3 linked regions of the Mus musculus genome follow. The protein of the gene in region 2 purifies or fractionates together with the protein of the main gene of each other region. This does not show direct contact. Links are inferred from orthologs where the notes say so. Each region holds a gene or a part of one and is shown on either strand. Other genes may lie near its edges. The genes, in order: Setd1b, Wdr82 and Ppp1cb.

Region 1 (3,624 bases), on a different chromosome or scaffold from region 2:
CAGACAGACAGACAGGCATGGTGGTACCTCATCCATCCGCTCTGAGGTGGGGGTCCTGTCTCCTGCCAGGTCCAAATCCACCTCGGCTGTCTGGCCTAGCAGACCCATAGGGTCTGGGGGGCCTGGCTCAGGTGGGGGCCGAGGCCCCAGGCCCAGGCCCAAGTCCTCATCTTCATCAGAGTCAGGCAGTGGTGTGGGACTGATGTCCTCTAGACCTGTGCTGGAGGGGCGCGAGGAGGGTGGCGAGGGACCGCGGAAGCCGGGCTGCGAGTTAGTGCCAAAGTGGCTGAGCGGGGAGAGTTGGGAGGAGGAGGAGGAGATGGGGCTGCCTTCCATCTGTATCTCGGTGTCTGAGTCCTGCTCACGAAGGAAGGGCAGCTTGGTGCGTTGCTCCTTCAGCAGCATCTCAATGCGGGAGTCCAGGCTGTCATGGGGCTTCTCTGGCCCGGCTGGAGAGGACTCCAGAGTAGGGGTGCCAGGGCTGTCACAGGGCTCAGGACTCCAGCCAAAGGTAGGCCGACCACCCAGCTCCATGCTGTTGCTGTCAGGGGGCGGGGGACCAGGAGGGGTGCCTGGCTTCTCCTTGGCTGGAGGCTCAGCGGGTGGCAGGGGCGGGGGCGCAGGTGCCCTCCGGAACTCCCCACTGTCGCGGCTCCCAAAGGCTGCTGTGGCGGTGGGCTCCTCAGGGGGTGGCGGGAAGGGGGGTGCTGGAGTCTGATATGGAGAGAAAGCTGATTTGAATCCAGAAGCCGTGGCTGTTTGGGCAGGAGGTGGAGTATGGGCAAACGTGGTGGCATCCTGCGACTGAGCCTTGAAGGGAGTCCCGCTGCTGCCAACTGTCCCAAAAGAGAGGTCCGAGGAGCCTCGGAAAGGAGCTGTGGCTCCAGCCACCGCTGAGTTGTGGACATAATGATGTTCGTGGCGGCGGTTGTAGGCATCTGTGAACTTGCTCTCGTGCCGCCTCGCCTTGAATGTGGCTGTGGGGTCCTGGCTGAAGAGATAGGAGGGTGTGGGCTGACGGCTGGAGTAGCTGGAATCCTGGGAGAAAGGGGTGCCCAGGCGAGGCGTGATTGGGGTGCCTTGTCCATAGGAGTTGGGTGTGTCCAGGCGGCAGCTGGAGTAAGCTGTGTCTTGGGAGAAGGGGGTCCCACCGCTATTGGGGGTGACTGACGAGGAGCCAGAGCCGCAGCCTGCAGACAGGCTGCCATCTTTGAGGCGCTTCAGAGCATCTGATAGCTGGAGAGAGAAGAGATCATGGGTGTTGTGGGTGTGGAGGGAGGACCGAGCTGAACCAGGCAATTGAGCTGCTTCCCGCTAAAACTTTGGCTGCTAGGGAGTGTGGAGCCCATGACCTCCCATCACAAGGAAAGAACTGGAGTGCCTGGAAGTGCGCAGGGGTTTTTTTGTTTCTTTTTGTTGTTGTTGTTTTTCCCTATCCCTAAGTATAGATGTTTACCCTCTGCACACATAGAGGATTGTCCCTAATACTGGCAGCACAAAGAGAAGACCCTGATGTTTTGGTATAGGCTGCTATTTCCTTCCCAAGCCTCAGGCCATCTGACATTAAAGGGTGTGACACAGAGATGTGACCAATGACTGTGGTCTTGGGTTTGATGGACTGTCCTTACAAATTCTAGATATTTAAAAGGTGTGACAGCCCCTCCCCCATGCCTCCTGATCAGCAGGCAAACAGACTTCAGTCCTCTGGGAGGGGGGGACACCTCAGTTCATACTGTGGCTGAATGGAATCAGCTAGGTGAGTGTCCTGGTATACCGTGGGTGGAGGAGCCAGTCTGTTCTGGAAGAGGATCTGAACTCTGCTTTCTGGAAATACGTACAGAGGGTGCCCGGATACCAGACACTAAGACCCAAACGTAGCGATGTTTTGACATTCATATAGAAAAACAGCCTGCATCTGTGGGAATCCCAGTATGGGTGGAGGGTGGGTGGAACCAGAGGAGGGACTCAGGGATGCTGGGCCAATCCCAGCGGAGAACTGGTGCAGCAGATCTTGGGAAAACAGGGTTTTTAGATCAGCTGGGAACCAACAGCAGGTGTGGTCAGGTCTCTAAAGCCAAGAGGTGCTGAAGCGGAGGGAGCAGCTGCAGGGAAGAACCTACCTGCAGGGTCTCGCTCACAATCGGAGAAATAGCATCCAGCTCACCAACAGGGAGGGTCTGAGGGGTGTACCGGCCGGTGACCAACAGCTCGTAGAAGCGCATGCGAGTTTCCCCTGTAACAGGCAAGGGACAAGGGTATCCATGGAAGCTCCACCAGGACACATCCCCATGGGGATTCCAACTCACTTATTAGCACGGTCAGGGATCCCTTGTGCCTGCGACCACAGGCCCGGGGATCCTGTGTGTCCCCTGATTAGGTCTCTACCCTTTCTCACCTCATTCCAGATTCTCATCTGTCCAACCAGGCTGCAAAACTCTGATCTTTCTGATCCTGAGATTCTAAGGTTAATGCCTTTGTGGGACAGAGCTTCTCCCCCCACTGCACCCCCCCCAAAAAAAACCCCAAAACCCCCAAATGCCATCCTAAATGGAAAGTTCTTTCCATTCCTTAGACTATAGTTCCCCCCCAAAAGGAGCTATTACCACCCCATCCCCCACATTCTTTCACCACAGAATAGTCACGGCTTGTAACAAGGGCAGAGGAAGTCTGGGGACAGAGGTGACTTAACTATCTGGGGCCAAAAGACAATCTAAGCCTGTCAAACACATACATACTACTGTGAGCCAATCGCAGGCTGCTCTCCACCAGCTTAAGCCCCAGGAGTACCCAGAGTCTGCCCGGGGACTACCTGGAGCCCTCTGCCTACCTCTCTACCCACCAGAGAGAGATTTTGATCAACCAGGCCCCGATTATTGGTATTTAGAGCCTTAGAGGCAGCTGCTTACATATGCAAAGGAGGTGAGCCACACTTTACTGGACTCTTTCTTGAAATACAATTACAAATCTCAAAATAAGTGGTAGTATCTGAGGATTGTGTCTTTTCCTTTCTTTTCTTTCCCTCTCCACCCCTCCAGGTCCCCCAGAAATGAAATTGTAGTGAGGCTTAGCTGCTGCTTAAGATGTGGGCAGGTGATGGGAGAGGGGGACTGCAGGCTTCAGTCATGGGGGAAATTGAACTTCAGCTTAATGTGAGGCTAGGTAGTAGATTTAATAGTCTGTTCACACACACACACACACACACACACACAAGTGCATGGCGACAGGGGTGGGGTTGGGGGTCATTTACTAGGGCTCGAGGAACTGGGAAATGAGAAGGAAAGCTGTCGACTGGACAGAAATGACTAGGCTTTGCAAGCGGGGGTTGGGGGGTAACCAAATCCACTCAAAATTGCCAAATCCACTCAAAATTACCACAAACCACAACCCTTTGCGACAACACCCAGCGCGGTCTTAGGTCTTAGAGACTGCATGTCGCCATCATTAAAAGCAAAACAAAGTTAAGTTTTTCTGTCTTGCCTTTGGTGTGTGCTCAGAAACTCAAAAAGAAAAATCCCTGGTGTTCACCCCTGGAGTCCTCCCAGGCAGGGTTCAACAGTGCCACGCCCCTCCTCCAACCCCCGGACTTGACATTAGGATCACGGGACCACCTGGTCCCAAAGCCCC
Region 2 (4,102 bases):
GTTATTTTCTTCTACTGTTGGAATTATTGGATTATTCTTCTATACATATATATTTTTACATTTACTGATTTTATGTATATGAGCATTTTGTCTGCTTGCTTGTATATATGGGCACCCTATGCAGGTCTGATGCACATGGAATCCAGAAGAGAACATCAGATCCCCTGCAACTGGAGTTAAATGTAATTGTGAGCCTCCACGTGGGTGCTGCTGATTAACCTAGGTTCTCTGCAAAATTAACATGCGCTCTTAACCACATGTTAGCCATCTCTCTAGCTCCTGGACTTTTTTCCCCCCACAAACTTCTCTCTTTATGAAGACTTCTTTATGTTATTTATAGGAGTACCCTTGTAGCTGACTTCAGACACACCAGAAGAGGGCATTGGATCCCATTATAGATGGTTGTGAGCCACCATGTGGTTGCTGGGAATTGAACTCAGGACCTGTGGAAGAGGTGCTCTTAACAGCTGAGCCATCTCTCAAGAAATCAGAATTAGGGGTCAAATCCCCTGGAACTAGTTACAGATGGTTACAAGGTGTAGGAGTCCACTTGTTCCTCTCTAAGAGCAAGTGCCTGTAGCCATCTCCAGCCCTTACATTTCCTTTTTGGGACAGCTGTTCAAGCTGCCTTGGATTCGCACCCCCAGCTCCCAAGCGCTGAAATTATAGGCACTGCTGGACACGTTCTTTTTTCAAGAAAGTTCTTTGGAGCATTGTAACTTTCTGTAAGTTTGTAATCATGTAAAAAGGTTACATGCCTGAATAAACATTTTTTTCAGTCTTAGTGTTTTATTCCTTTGAATAGGATATGCATTTCCATTACAGATTTGGGGGGGAGATTCTAAGCTATGTATTGCACCAAACATGTCAGACAAACCAATTTCAAATTACTTGTAGTTCCAAACAGAATCAAATAGTCAGACCAGTGTATGATAATAATCAATACACAAATATGAACATCAATTCAAATAACTATTTGTCCAGTTAGTAATTTTCTCTTCCCCAGGATCACCACTGTAGGAAACTCTCCCACATACAGCAAGCTCAAGTCCAACGACAGTTACGTAATACTTTGTTGGAGCTCCAGCGAGGAAACCCATCAAGGACAATATCATATACAGCTCATTCTACAATAGCTTTACTTTAGATAAACTCAGAGACAAGTTCCAAAAGAAAACTATTATTTGAAAAAAATAATAAACAAAGAGAACAGCTGCAAAAAGGAGAGAAAAAGCCAAGGATTCAAAAACAGGTAACTTTAACATAATGTCGAAAACAGTAGCTATTAAACTAAACACCTCCTGCTTAGGAAGGAAGCTGAAGTTGACAAAGGGAATCAAATTTAGCCTAAACTAGTTTCTGCTACAAAAGAGGTCACTGCTTACTTATCGAGGATTTGAACTTCCAGAGATGAGACAGGCAATGTCTTCCTCACACCCAGGCTATGAAAACGGCAAAGATACACAAGTTCTCCAACTAACATAATTTCCATAACCAGTTCCAGAATTCCAAAACTTTGATAACTATAAGCAAACCACAATCTGGCGGTTATTGTTTTTTGTTTTTTAACTGTTTTGAGTCAGGGTCTCTCTGCTATGAAGTCCAGAACTCAGGGTCTGACTGCCTCTATCGCCCAAATGCTGAGATTACTGGCTAAGCGGCCAAACTTGGGTTTTTTTTGTAATGCAAAAGGAAACACTAAATTGTTCCGGAATGCTTTCTTTGTTTTAAAGAGAGCTCACATTCTGACCAGAATGGGGCGGCCAAGTTCTCAGGAGTCTGGCAAAGAAAAGTTTCCAAGAGTCTGTTTAGTAAGTTAACTGTAAGCCTGGGTATTGGTACTGGGAAAGGACAGCAAGCTCACATGGGCACAATCGATAAATCCTGACAGCTTAAAAACTGCATCCCGCGGGGCTTGATTGCAGAAAAGCCGCGCGGGAAGCTGAGGGGTAGGGGGCGGGCACCGTGCCAGGGCTGAATCCAGGTCACTGCTGTGAAGGCAGAGAGCTGGACGCCACTGATGGACAGAACACAGCTCCTGCCGTTCTGCATCGAGCTCAGAGTCCACCCGCACATTCTGACAGTCGCCAGGGGAGTGGAAAGGGCTATCCGTCCGGCTGCAGGGTGCAGGGACATGGCGTTTAAAGGTCAAGGTCAAGGTGGGGTTTGGCAAGCGGGAAAAGCGCGCTCGGAAGAGAGCAAAGACACATGAACTAAGAACCATCATCATCTTAAAGAGGATCTCCTGCAGCACTGCGGGATGGAGGTGGCCCTGGCAAGAGCGCCTGCACCACATGCCTGGGGTTGGGGGTGGGGGCTCAGTCGGGGACCAGCGACAGAGGGAAGGAGAGGGGCACTTGGAACTCGGCCACTATCACACTCACTTGCCCTCCTGGCAGTCATAGAGCACGATGGAGTCATCATCGCTGCTAGAGATGACCGTCTCGCCATTGGGACTAAAGTCAAAGCAGTTGATCTTGTCTGAGTTCTCGCGGAACACCTTGGCGACGCGGAAGCTCCGGAGCACGCTGTCGGTCAGCTTCATGGCGGCGGCGGCTGCTGCTGCTGAAGGCAGCGGCGGCGCAGGGCCGGGGCGGGGCCGAGAGGCGAGCGATCGGGCGGGCTGCTCAGGGCCAACCCCGGCGGTGCGGGCGCCGCGCTGGAGACGAACCGAAGGACGGCTGACAGTGGGGCTGCCGCGTCCTCTTCCTCAGGCGACGCTCTCTCGCCCGGACGACGGGACCTCGCTGACCGTTCTTCTCCGGAGTCAATTCAGGGCCAACCGGCGCTCCGCCGGCTCATTGTGTCCGCCATCTTGAAGGGAGAAGCAAAATCAGAGGGCGAGGAGCTTGTGTCGCGGCGGACGCCGGGAAAGGGGGCGGGGAGGGAACGGAGGCGCGAGCTGGGGGAGGGGGGGCGGGACGATGACGTCAGCGGGGCGGCCTCCCGTTGCTGAGGCCCCGGAGCTGGAGCCCGCGGTTCTGGGGTGTGAACCTGCGGGCGTGGAGCATCTAAACCCTCTCTCTCGAGGGCAGGACTTGAGGTCGCCTCGGGGCTAGTGCCTTTGTGGGTGCTCTCAAGCCCCGGGGAGACGCTGGTGTCTCTGAGGCCGCAGGACCTGGCGGAGAGGCCTGCTCGTGTGTGGGTGTGAATCAGGTGAACCCATCACCGACTGACTTAACCACTGCACGGCCGAGCCAGGAGGCTTCGATTTGTTAGTTGAGTGATGTACAACATACACTTGCACGAAGTTTTAAGTGGCATTTTCAACTGGGTTTATATTAAACTTCAGAAGCTTGGAACTTCTTTTAAAATTTAATGAGAGTCGAAGCGCATGAAGATCCCTAACTTCTAGTGCGGGAGGAGGGGGAACCTTAGGAAGGGACATTTCACTCACTGGCAGGTGATTGCAAAGGCATGACAACCAGAGTCCCTTATAACCTGGGTTGACAAACGACGAAATGGAACACGAGAAAAAAATGGAGCCTTCTTGAAAAATGTGCGGGGGGGTTGCATCTCAGGTTCTTAGGTTAAAGAAAAAAGGTAGCTAGATAGAACTGGAAGTGGTTGGCTGAGGGAAAACGACAAGATTGTAAGTTTGTACTGCAGTTGTCTCCTGACAAAGGGCAGAGTTCCTGGCTACAATCTGTTCCGGGGTGTGAGGAAGGGAAGGAACCAGTTTGAGTGAAACCTGAATGGATGGCAACTTTCCAAATTGCAAATCTGTTCTAGAAAAACCTTCCACAGGTGGTTGCACTCAATCCCCAGTGATTGCCTTTGAGTTTAGGTGATCCAGGTGATCCAGGCTGCTATGGAGCTTGAGATAGCAAGGACAGATCTGGTGCCATGTGCCCGACTTGCTGTGGGAACTGAAGTTTTCTGAAGAGCATCTACAATAAAGATCCTGCAGACTGGCTGACTACAACATCGCAATTGTGGAGACATCAAATGTAGGCAAAGGATCTGGAACTATTTTAGGCCTCTTTAAAAACTAGTGTGTGTGTGTGTCTGTGAGTGCGTGCACACATGCTTTTACCTTCTGAGCCTTCTAAGGTGGCCTTGCTTTAGACTTTAAATAGCCATTTACTCTAACTTCCAACAT
Region 3 (4,394 bases), on a different chromosome or scaffold from region 2:
CAAGGATGTCATATTTATCATACTGGTCCTTAGAGCACACATTCTCGAAGGTTCTCTTCACACTTTCAATACAATGACCACTAACTGTAGTCTTGCTATGGATAGACGTCTTTAACTATAATTACATATCTTTTAATGTTCACTTTCATTTAGGACACACAAAATATATAACCTAGACATCTTTAACTATAATTATGTATCTTTTAATGTTCACTTTCATTTAGGACGCACAAAATATATAACCAGGTTATTCTGTTCTGCGAGGCAACTTTACAGAATAGCACCACTTGAATTTGAGTTAAATTAGCATGTAATACTGAAAACTAAAGTAGGCTGCCCGGCAGAGGTGGTGCATGTCTCTAATTCCCAGTATTTGGGGAGGCAGAGTTTGAGGCAGCCTGGTCTACAGAGCAAGTTCCAGGATAGCCAGGTACAGAGAAACCCTGTCTCAAAAAAAATTTTTTTTTCAAGATTGAATTTACTCACTAGAAAATCCAAGACTTCAAAATTTATTTGAACAGGTTTAGGCTTGGGGAGGGAAGGAGGGACTGGTAATATTTTAGAGTAACAACAAAAGCAGTCTTCGTCTGGATTAAGGAACAAGAATGTAACAAAACTACTAATAAATTGTACATTCAAAGCAGGAAGAGCAGGAAGGCTAGCACACACTGAGAAGCCACTTGTTTATACTGAGCTGCTTGAGTGAGGAGTGAGCCTTATCTTTGACTCCTGGTGCCTGGCAGTGCAGTCAATAAACACTTGCTATATTAGAAAAAAAGAACGTATTCTTACCCAAGAAGGGGGGACTGGTGGGTGCTGGTGACTGATGATAGAACCAAATATTTAACAATGATATAGCTCAGGCTACTTTCCCCTTTTTCTCTACAACTCCCACTCTATTAGTTGTATTTAAGCATCTGTAACTGTATAGAAGTACATTTGATTTAAAGGCTTCTAGATCGGTTTAAAATACATGCATCTGCTATAAGGTATTTATGAAAAATTAAAAATATTAATAAACTGCGATAAAATCTGATCCAAATTTAATTTAAAATTTAGATTATATGAAAACAGTGGTGGGCTTAAATTCCCCTTCTCCGAAGAGTAACAAGATATAAAGATTTAAAATAACTATATTTCCCTAATAGAGCCAGCCATGTACTACAAGCATAAATTTTTTTTAACTAAACAAATTTCTCACAGACCCAGCAAGATGTTTCTATCAATTAAAGACCACAAAATCCCAAGCAGTAAACACAGCAAGCACCAGGGGGCCTCCCAGGAATAACTTGATACTAAAGGAGAAGGTAAATAAGAAAGAGTTCCTGGTAAAAGTTCTGCCTTTTTCTCAGCCTTAAGGCTGCTGGAAAGCTTTTACATCTGGAGCATATAAACAGAGTTGTTTTGTTGTTGTTGTTGTTTTAAACAGAGAATAAATACTTCGTACTTTAACTAGTTAAAGAAAAGTCACCCCTCTCCACGCTCTTTGGTAAAATTCCAAACACAAACAGCTTCGCTGTAGTAAACACACGCATTCATTAGGAGGCTGACAAAAAGGACTCTTAACCACTCAAAAACGCAATTCTTTTTTACACACTCCACAATTAGTGACGACGCAAATTTTATAGCGTAAAAGGGTTCTTTTGACCAAGACCCGCCTTTAACTTCGAACAGTATCCCCCAACGGACCAATACATTTAACTACTGGCCTCTCCATCTCCTCTTTTCTCCTTATGTTCCCACCAACACAAAACTAATCGATAAAAGCATAAGAACCCGGAACTTCAAATGCTGAGAACACTTGTAAAATACCTTTTAAGCTCAAGAGATTATTCACAACAGACATTTGCTAAGTTTGTGCAGAAATTAAACTCGGCTCAAACATGTTTAAAAAAAAAAAAAAGCCCCCAAATCAACCCCTTCAGCACATGTATCCGGGCGTTTCGTATTTCTAACGGACGTCTTTAACCTGATTCAGGATTTTTACTGTTTTTTTATACTCCAGATAATAAATGGTAAACTAGTCATCGTATCCTCTCCCTAATTCTTTCTAGAGCATCCAGTAAAATGCAAACGATCCGAGAGCCTTACTGGGAAGGTTTTATGTAAAATTCACTACCGGAACGACCATCGGAGGCTGCCAAGGGCAACGCACAAAGAGAACCGAGAAATACACATTCCACGGACACACAAAGCCCAGCGGCAGGCATCCTCGCCCCTTCTTCGGAACGGTCTGCAGAGGCCAGCACAGCGGCCAAGCGGAGCCCGGCCGCCTCTCGGGAAGACTGTACCAGCCGATGGGCCTCCGGCCTCGCTCGGCCCGGCCTCCCCGCCTGCCCGCCCGCCAGCCCGCGCTCCTGGCCTCCTGGGGCACCCGGCCCGCCCGCCCGCCCGCCCGCCTGCCCTCCTCTCCGACCTCAGCTCGAGCGGGAAGGGCCCCGCGGCCGGGTGGGGAGACGAGCCGGCGCCGCACTCACCCTCCAGCAGGCGGGTGATGAGGCTGTCCACGTTCAGCTCCCCGTCCGCCATCTTGTCGGCACCAGACTCTCCTCCCTAAAGCGTTAACAGGGCTTCTCGGCGGCGGCGGCGGCTCGGCGTTCTCACCTACGAGTCACGCGGCGTTTCGACCCCGGCTCCAACTCCCCCCGGGCGCGGGCCCTCCCCCCACCCCCTCCCCGCCGAGCAGCGACAGCGCGCGCACACGCTGGCGGCGCCCACTGGAAATAAATAAATAAACAAGCAGGCCCCCAGGAACCGGGCCGCGTCAGGAACCGGGCCGCGTCAGACCCCAGCCGCCACCGCCTCCTCCACCTCCTCCTCGGCACCGCCCAGCTCCGCAAAGCTCGGCAGCGCCACGGACAGCCCCGCCCTCAGCGTCACTCCCTCCCCTCCGCCCTTGCGGGCCGCCTAGCCGCGCCGAACTGCGCGCACGCGCGCCACGTCCCCTTCCTGCCTCTCCAGCTCCCCGCCCTCCCCTCCGCGGTTGCTAACGCGCAGGAGCGATTCCCTCTCTCAGGCGTTCCACTGCAACGAACAGTCGCCACTACGCAGGCGCAGGGCGGAGCCTGCCTTGCTTGTGAACGCAGAGCCGGCGTAGGCTGGAATGACCTTCCTTCCCTGCTCCCCAGGGCCTGGTGGTTCCGCAGAGTTAACTATTGCGTTCTTCCCGCCTTGCTTTTCTTTTCTAGGTTTCAGTCACTGGTTTTCAAAACAATTGCTCGTATTTCCGCTAACCCGGAAACGTGGGTTTCAGTTGCCTATGTTGGAAACCCAGGTGTGCTGGAGATAAGAGACTTCTCTGTTGAAAAAGATTGACATTGCAGATCAAGGGCTCTGTATCACATCACCAGAGTCGCTGATTCGCCAGGTGACCCTAGAAGAAACAGGATTCAAAGTGGGCCTCAGTCAACAGCAATAAGATTTTACACGCTCCCGACATCTCCATACACTCAGGATACCACTTTTCTATAGTTCTTTTCTGTTCATTGATTTCTTATATTGCTTAATTCTCTTATCTTGTGATTTTTAAACATTTCTCTACTGCACTCGGTTCCTAGAGGATAAAAATCACATTTACCGGGCATAAGAGACCTGTAATCCCTACAACTGGGAGATGGAGGCAGAAGATCCAGAAGCCCAAGGTCATCTTCAGCTACATAATAAATGCTTGCAGTTGGGATAAATTAAAAACAAATACAGGGACTGAAGAGATGATTCAGAGGTTAGGAGCACTGCCTGTTTTTTTGCAGAGGACATGGGTTCAATTCCCAGCACCCACATGGTTACAACTATCTATCTGTAATTTTGATTCTGATAAAAATAAAATAAAAAGAAAAGGACATGATTGCTTCTAGGTATGATGAAGAAAAAGGTTTATTAGAGATAAATGGGAGAACATAGTTGGGAGGAAAGACATCTGGGAATATTCAGAGCGAGCATGACTCTGAGGGGGAGGGAAAGAGAAGATTAGGGCAGGGAGTGTGCATGCCATACATACCCTGTAACAGGTAGGAATGGCTGAGAGAACCTGGGTCCAGTAACCACTTTCACATGTTAAATAAGTACCTCTGTCATTTGTCCCAGGTTTGAGACCTAACAGTTCCAGGGCATCTGATGCCCTCTCGGTCCTCTCTATGGGCACTATACATAGTACACAAACATACATGCAGACAAAGCACTCATATGCATAAAAATACTTTTTAAAAGTAAAGAAGGAAATAGAAAAAAAAAAAAGGAAACCAAGCATGGGAAAGATCAGATTAAACCAGGGGCTTTATTTCCAAAATGCACGCTGGAAGATTCTGTTAACTTGAAAAAGATGGGCTAAAAAGTTGACTCTCTGCTTTCTAGAAACTAAGAAACTGAAACACCAGTTACAAATGGAGGTAGATATT

The links.
Region 1: the proteins of Wdr82 (region 2) and Setd1b purify together in Homo sapiens (affinity purification with western blotting; 4 studies listed by BioGRID, with this or other methods). This does not show direct contact. The link is inferred for Mus musculus from reciprocal best matches to the Homo sapiens genes WDR82 and SETD1B.
Region 3: the proteins of Wdr82 (region 2) and Ppp1cb purify together in Homo sapiens (affinity purification with mass spectrometry; 5 studies listed by BioGRID and IntAct, with this or other methods). This does not show direct contact. The link is inferred for Mus musculus from reciprocal best matches to the Homo sapiens genes WDR82 and PPP1CB.

Annotation. Positions count from the first base shown.
Region 1 is NC_000071.6:123,145,159-123,148,782, reverse strand, and holds part of Setd1b (histone-lysine N-methyltransferase SETD1B), read right to left. Parts: intron 2,234-3,624; coding exon 2,121-2,233; intron 1,237-2,120; coding exon 28-1,236; intron 1-27. UniProt on the Homo sapiens protein: Histone methyltransferase that catalyzes methyl group transfer from S-adenosyl-L-methionine to the epsilon-amino group of 'Lys-4' of histone H3 (H3K4) via a non-processive mechanism.
Region 2 is NC_000075.6:106,169,662-106,173,763, reverse strand, and holds the start of Wdr82 (WD repeat-containing protein 82), read right to left. Parts: upstream 2,836-4,102; 5' UTR 2,546-2,835; coding exon 2,385-2,545; intron 1-2,384. UniProt on the Homo sapiens protein: Regulatory component of the SET1/COMPASS complex implicated in the tethering of this complex to transcriptional start sites of active genes.
Region 3 is NC_000071.6:32,457,491-32,461,884, reverse strand, and holds the start of Ppp1cb (serine/threonine-protein phosphatase PP1-beta catalytic subunit), read right to left. Parts: upstream 2,916-4,394; 5' UTR 2,530-2,915; coding exon 2,478-2,529; intron 1-2,477. UniProt on the Homo sapiens protein: Protein phosphatase that associates with over 200 regulatory proteins to form highly specific holoenzymes which dephosphorylate hundreds of biological targets.